2 linked regions of the Rhinolophus ferrumequinum genome follow. The protein of the gene in region 1 interacts with the protein of each later gene in a biochemical or structural test. Links are inferred from orthologs where the notes say so. Each region holds a gene or a part of one and is shown in the gene's direction. Other genes may lie near its edges.

Region 1 (3,749 bases):
CCCAGAAAGTCCATTTCTTGCTGGAATGCAGGACATGCTTTCTCCCTGTTCCTGTTGACTTTTTTCACAGTCAAGATTACTCATCGCAGCTGAAGACTGAATAACAATAGATGGGAAACGGTTTCCACATTTTTCCATAGAACATAACCCCAACTGCTTTGCAGCCAGCATTTATGAAGGAAGACTTAGATGAACAGCAATGTTCTAGCAATCATTAGAAGTGGACTGGGCACTACACAACACATGGACCCTGACACCACCCTTTTCTAGCATATCATGTTTGTTAACACACAATTTGTTCAAAGAATTTAGAAATACAATTTAGCAGAAATAAAATGAAGAAAGACCAAATTTGGAAAATCTTTGGTATTCTCATGATGATTAGCCAGCATAATTAAATTCATGCCAACATTTGTGACCTGCTTCCAGCTACGTAGATGAAACTGATTCTTTTCTTAAAATTTATTGCCTTTTTGCTATAAATAAGAGGCTGTCTTTTGTAGTTCTTATATGTTCATGTCCTCTCTATAACTAGATAATTAACTCTAAGGGTTCCATCCTCTTTCTCCTTTTCCTCCTCCTTTAGTGCCCTCCCACATTCCCTTTTCTAGGCTGCCAGTATTTTAAATGTAACATGTGTCCCTTTAGGTATATTCCCAGGTTTTTTATTTCAAGTCATAATTTGACTTTTTATTGTATATGGAAACTTAAGTAAAAAAAATCCTTTCCACTTTTGGATAATGAATTTCCTGATATACTATAATCCCAAAGTAAAAGTGACTGATTGTTGTGTAATTCATCTTGTGCTACTTTATAATAAGGTAAAGAAAGAAGCCCCCAATTCAGGAATAGATAAAATATTTTAATTACTAACAATTTTTAGAATTCTAATCAATTAGTAGAAAAGTGAACTCTCCCTCAGCTCACAACCAAGCATATTTTTTTTAAAAAAATCACCTCTAGTAAACCTGAAGCTCCAATGAAATATTCCTACAATTGTAAATATTTTACCTGTTTTGTAACGATGGCCTGACCTGTTGGCATGAATATCCTTTGTTCCAGAAAAGATCAGTAATAAAATTATAGAAAAGTTTAATATTTTTATTTCTTATTTCAAATCGTTTGGGAGACGTTTCAGAAGGCGTTGGGAAACTTTCGATTCTGCATGCTTGCTTCCTCCAAGTTTCCATCCACAACGACTAAATGTAAAGCAGTGTCCCCGAAAACACACCCCACATCGCACCCACACAGATTCCTTCCTAGTGTTTCGATGTGAAATGCACCTAAAGGTTCCGCGCCATTTTTCATCCCTTCCTCTGTGAAACGGGTGATAGTTGTGTCTGAGGCAGCGATGGAACAGACATGGCTTAGGGCGATAGGAAGACACGGCTGAGAACCGCGCAGGATTCTTGTGGAAGCTCGGGTGCCTATTCTGGGCTCTCTCCACTCTCCACCCCTGCTGGGATGATGCTCTGAGAAAAGACTCGCTCTCCCCAGGACTCCTCTCAGCGGTTCCTAACTAGGAAAATGTTGCCCTGGGTTTACAATACCCGCCCAAGCAGCCCAGCGACAGTGAAACGCTTTCTCACTGCTCTGTGGCCCCGGCGGGCGATTCTCGCCCTCTGCTGCCAGAACCTCTGGGATGTGCCCAGACCCGGCGCTGCGCACGTCCCAGCCAACCCCCAGCCGAACAAGCCCTTGGCCCGCGGCCAGGAGGCTCCCTCCCAGCCACCGCCCCCCGCCAGCGCCTTTTTTTTTTCCCCATACAATACAAGATCTTCCTTCCTCAGTTCCCTTAAATCACAGCCCAGGGAAATCTGCTCAGAGCCTTCATCCAGCTACGGGCCAGCATGTCTGGGGGCAAATACGTAGACTCCGAGGTAGGCTGGGGTGGTGCGCGCCGGGCCGGGCACGCCAGGAGTGCCTGCGTCTGCTATCTCCCACTCCAAATACCCCGGCTGCTTTCCTCGCCCCAGCCCTCTCTCCACTTCGGGGCACTCCTCTTGCGCTGGCACTGCTGAGGAATGGGCCTGGGCGGGGAGGTGAAGAGGAGGCAGGAATGTTCTGTTTTCCTCCTGGGAACGGGCTCGGGATGAGGGGTAAGGGGGAGCTAAGCTAGAGGGAAAAGGGGACTCGGGATCCTGAAGTCGGGTTTCCCTGACCCAGGATGCGTTTCTGGGTGGGGTCCCAGGTGCTGCCTTCCTGCAGAACCCCCACGGTCCGGCCCGTGCCTGCTGGGAGGCGGAGAGCTGCATCTGGGTGGGAGGTCATTCACCCGCAGTCCTGAGGACTGGCCCAGCGACTCCCCGCCAGGCGCCTGGACCGCCCGGCCCCGCGACGGCGTGCGCGGTGTTTGCACTTTCCAAAGCTCTTAGGCCACCTCAAGAATTCTTCCCGCAACTCTGCGCCTGGCAGGGGTGTTTGGAGAGGGACGCACTTCCCTTCCCCCAACTACCACCACCCCTTCCAACCTCCCTCCCCCCGGGAGTGGAGACCTCGTTTTCCCAGACGCAGCCGCCGTTTAGCCACCGGTCGGCAGCCTGGGAGTGACCTGAGGGTGGGTCGGGAGAGTAGTGCAGGTGAGATAATCGTTCCAGGGAAGTTTTGGGATCTGACACATGGCTACGCCCAGAGACGGGTATGCGGCTTGTAAGCACCACGGGGGTTGGAGGAGCTGTGGAAGGACAAAGAGGGCACAGGGAGGGTGGGTAATGAGGGCAGGTGCTAGGGAGACGCGGCAGGAAGCAACGAAATGGGGATACTCCATGGGTCAGGGAGTTCAAGTTGAATCTTAAGGATGAAGCTGGAAGGATTATGGAGAGAGGGAGAATGGGGTCCAAGGACCGGAAAATGGAGCAGGTGAAGCACTCGGAGTGAGGGAGAGGGGCTGGAGAGAAGTCAGAGGTGGGTCCCGTCCCCCCCCTCCCCGCTGCCGGGGTCTCTGCAGGGTACAGTGGGCTGGGCGTGCGCTAGGCGGGGGCCAGAGTGGACTGCGCGGCGGGATTTGCCCTGACCCCTGGCGGCGGGCGGGGGAGGCAGGCGCTCCCTGCCTGGTACGAAGGGGTGTGGTGTCCTCTCCCCGATCCTCTTAAAAAGCTGCGGCGCCAAGGAGCTGGCTGCGCGCGGAGCCACTGGTAGAAGTGGTTCGTTCGATTTTGAGCCTTGGGGCTTGTTCCGCCTCCCGGCTGACTTCTGATCTCTTGTTTTTCTTTTTGAACATTTCTTCCCACCGCCGGTGCCACTCTCCCTCTCCTGGCCGTCCGCCCTCTGCAGGGACATCTCTACACTGTTCCCATCCGGGAACAGGGCAACATCTACAAGCCCAACAACAAGACCATGGCAGACGAAATGAACGAAAAGCAAGTGTACGACGCGCACACCAAGGAGATCGACCTGGTCAACCGCGACCCCAAGCATCTCAACGACGACGTGGTCAAGGTAAGGTGAGGCGGCCAGCGAGGAAGGGATGTGCCCCGAGGGGACGCTGTCAGGGCTCAAACAGCTCTGCTTTGGCAAGCAGCCTGTGCTTGCTTCTCCACCTTTGACACACACACACACACACACACACACACACACACACACACACACACACCGTCTTCTGGGCTCCATGTGTGGGAGTTCCAGCGGTCGTCAGAAATAGCTCGTCTCCCCTCCCCCTCCTGCTGGTTAGTTCAGCTGGAATTTAGCGAACTTGAGTTTTGTAGGCTTTCATACAACTGCACTCTTCTCCTGGCAAATGAACCCCTGAT
Region 2 (3,749 bases), on another chromosome or scaffold:
CATGCTGCAACTGCCCACATCCTGGAATTTTATAATTATGTTGTTTCAGGCTAGGGGCTGTTAACCCTGACCTGAAGATAGCAGTTCTCATGCTAACAGTCTCTTACATGCTAACAGTCTCTTACAACAGGATGACCGCTTAGGAGCAGTTCTGGGAGAGGAATTTACCGCCTTCCTCTCTAATAAGCAAGGACGGGGTGGTGGTGTGGAGAACAGTATTTCTTATTTCTAAACTCACGTTATCTATAAATAGGAGTTACAGATATGTACACTGACTATAGCTATATTTCATTCAACTAAATAAACATTGAAAAAAATTGAAGATACGTATGTGCTGCATATAAACTAGGTTAAAGGTCGTCACGAAAAATCAAACATGATACGTTTGAAATACATGACACGTGTAAAACATGTCAGCGTTTGTTGGCTTTGCTTGTTCCAGTCTGTCCTGACTGCCTTCCTTGGCATTCCAAAGAACGAGGGACCCAGACAAGGCGGCGGGGACGGCGCTCCAGGGGATTCCCTCCGTGCGCTCTGGAACCTCTGGACACCGATTCCCGTAGACGCAGCGTAGTGCCTCGCCACCCTCACTCCCCCAGGGGGATTGTCTAGAAAGTCGGCTCTGGGAAGAGCTGGGGCAAAGACGGGGAGTAAGGAAAGGAATCAGGCGCACACCCGAGCTCCGGGAACAGAGGAACTGCGGGCGGAAAACGTGGAGATCGGAGTGGGGAGGGTGGCAATCCGTTTTGCACTACCTCGGGGAAACTGAGAGCAGCTTCCCGTGTTTCCGATTTTCTCAGTTGGGGGAAAAAAAAAAAAATCCTTCCCCCATCCGGGTCTTACGCAATTATTCTAGTGGGGGCCGGGAGTTGCGGGAGGGGCGGTAAGGAACCGCGGAAAGAAACAGTCATGGCATCACGTGGGCTTAGTTTTCACGCATAAAAGGAAGGTTCTCGCCGTTAGCTTCCAGTTGTCAAAGGACTTGCAGCGAGCGTCAGGAGTACGCCCAGGAACTCCGCCCAGCGCCTCCTCCAGCCCCGCGGCCCGAAGCTCACACAGCGCAACGCCTTCGCCCGCGGCGGAGATGCTCTCCAGCGCCTTGCTGCTGCTCTACGCCACCCTGGCGCTCAGCTGTGCAGGTGGGTACTTGGCGCCGCTCACAGGGCACTGCCCGCCAAGTTTTCGCTCTGACCTCCCGGAGGTCCCCTTCGCTCTGAATGCTCTCCGGATACGGAAGGCCCTATGACTTTGAAAAGAGCTTGGACTACTGGAGGGGGATATCCCAGCTTTGCCACCAGCCAGTTACTTAACTGGTCTGGGTCTCACTTTTCTCATTTGCTAAATAGGAATAGTGGTACTAATTTGCAGGTTGTCGTTATAATAATACAGGATCTGATCAATATATGGTGAAATGTGTTTGTGTGTGTGTGTGTGTGTGTGTGTGTGTGTGTGTGTGTGTGTGTGTGTACCTACTGTTGTTGAGTGGAAATAATTGTTTTAAATTGCCTCATTAGTGCTTTCCTGCCCCAGGAAAACCCAGGTTACTTTTTTTAAGATAGGCAAGATATTTTAAAAGTAAGCTGTTTTAAACTTTGTCATTTTCCCTAAATTTTGATTAATGTACTAGATCTATCCATTTGAATTTTGACAGTTCTACTTCTTTGAGGTTCTTAAAAATGCTAATTTGGACATCAAAAAAGTTACTAAGAAATAGCTTAGCAACATGATTTCTCAGGATGAATATTCCGTTAGCCTTATTTAGAATAGAAAGTTGGTATTTCTACCGTATAACCATTCTGTGAGACAGGTTTAAAAAAATTGTTTTCCCGTGACTACCTGTACATTTCTTGCATTTCTTATCGTAAAATTGACCCACAGTAAGCAAAACAAATATTTAAGTCAAGATTAAGACACTGAAGAATGATTTATTTACTGTCTTTACTTTTATTGTAGGAAATCCTTGCTGTTCCAACCCATGTCAAAACCGAGGTGTATGTATGAGTGTTGGATTTGACCAGTATAAGTGTGACTGTACCCGGACAGGATTCTATGGTGAAAACTGTACAACACGTAAGTTTGCCCTTGGGTGCCCTCATTTGGAAGGGGGGTATATGTACCGCTACCATTTTACAGATTTGTGTCTTATAATGGGCCCCCTTAATTTCTCCTTCCTTTTTTTTTTTTCCTCTTATTGCAGCTGAATTTCTGACAAGAATAAAGTTATTCCTGAAACCCACTCCTAACACAGTGCACTATATACTTACCCACTTCAAGGGAATCTGGAACATTGTCAATAATATTCCCTTCCTGCGAAATGCAATTATGAAGTATGTGTTGACATGTAAGTACAGTCTCTTTCTAAGGTTTTCAGCTTCCTCAAAGGAAAATGTACTTTATAATACTCCAGATTGCTAAACCTAATCTAAAAACATATTTCCAACCTTGTCAAAATGACTTTAAATATATCTTTTTAGTGTGATTTTTAGCTTAATGGTAAAAATACTGACATTTAAGTCTCATCCAGTTTACAAAGTCCTTTCTCACAGTCAGAATTCTACTTACAATCTGTATACCTCTTCCAAGCTTCTTGGATGGTTAGTTGAAAAATCAAGATGGCTAGACCATCATATCTTATGTACCACATATATACTTTACTAAAGATGTACTTTCCAGAATCATTGTTTTTTAAGTACAAATGGCAGTTAGACTTTAAAGTGCAATTGTTTTAAAATAGAGTATCATTGTTGGAATTCAATTCAACCTCTGGTGCTACCTTGTACATTTTACAATAAAAATGAACATTGATTTGCTTTGCAAATGGGAACAAATAAAACAATTTCTTTCCCTTGAAAATTTCAGCCAGATCACATTTGATTGACAGCCCGCCAACCTACAATGCACAGTATGGCTATAAAAGCTGGGAAGCCTTTTCTAATATCTCCTATTACACCAGAGCTCTTCCTCCTGTGGCTGACGACTGCCCCACTCCCATGGGCGTGAAAGGTGAGTGAGAGGAAGCAGTTAGAGATGTATTGCAATGGGGGTTGGATTGCTACTTAGAAAATTTGACCCTAAACTATCATTTGTTCGTTAATAAAAGTATCGTTTTTTCCTTGCTTTATGCATATCTATGGAGATCTTTTTTTTTGAAAGTGTGAATCTATGTAAACTGTTCCATGAAAGTGAATGGGCATTTTGGTATAATGTCTCAATGTTTTCACATTTTTTTCATTAAAACTGAGTTCATAATAGATCACTGTCTGCTTTCTTGAATATAGAGATGGATTCTTAGCTTTCTCGTTTTTCAGGAAAGAAAGAGCTTCCTGATTCAAAATTGATTGTGGAAAAATTTCTTCTAAGGAAACAGTTTATCCCTGATCCCCAGGGCACAAATTTGATGTTTGCGTTCTTTGCCCAGCACTTCACCCATCAGTTTTTCAAGACAGATCACAAGCGAGGACCAGCTTTCACCAAAGGACTGGGTCATGGGGTAAGACAGCACTAAAGCAAAATGATAGCAAATCAGAGTGAAGTGCTGATGTTAAAGACCATATGTTTATTTGCCACACCAAATAATTGACCCTCTTTTTAAACAATGTCCTATTTGTAAAAACCTGAATGGCGTTTTCATTTTAATTCAATGGTTCAGGAAAAATACATACCCATACATATATACAGATATTATTTGTAATTTGACTCATATTTTTAGTTCAAAATATTAGCACTACAGAAATGTTGCATCTTCAGAA

The links.
Region 2: the proteins of CAV1 (region 1) and PTGS2 form a complex in vitro, tested with the Homo sapiens proteins (2 studies listed by BioGRID). The link is inferred for Rhinolophus ferrumequinum from reciprocal best matches to the Homo sapiens genes CAV1 and PTGS2.

What each region holds. Positions count from the first base shown.
Region 1 is NC_046309.1:26,399,585-26,403,333, reverse strand, and holds the start of CAV1 (caveolin-1), read left to right. Parts: upstream 1-1,575; 5' UTR 1,576-1,850; coding exon 1,851-1,880; intron 1,881-2,446; exon of another isoform or gene 2,447-2,579; intron 2,580-3,273; coding exon 3,274-3,438; intron 3,439-3,749. UniProt on the Homo sapiens protein: May act as a scaffolding protein within caveolar membranes. Forms a stable heterooligomeric complex with CAV2 that targets to lipid rafts and drives caveolae formation. Mediates the recruitment of CAVIN proteins (CAVIN1/2/3/4) to the caveolae.
Region 2 is NC_046305.1:17,297,450-17,301,198, reverse strand, and holds the start of PTGS2 (prostaglandin G/H synthase 2), read left to right. Parts: upstream 1-980; 5' UTR 981-1,084; coding exon 1,085-1,139; intron 1,140-1,953; coding exon 1,954-2,070; intron 2,071-2,197; coding exon 2,198-2,341; intron 2,342-2,859; coding exon 2,860-3,003; intron 3,004-3,308; coding exon 3,309-3,490; intron 3,491-3,749. UniProt on the Homo sapiens protein: Dual cyclooxygenase and peroxidase in the biosynthesis pathway of prostanoids, a class of C20 oxylipins mainly derived from arachidonate ((5Z,8Z,11Z,14Z)-eicosatetraenoate, AA, C20:4(n-6)), with a particular role in the inflammatory response.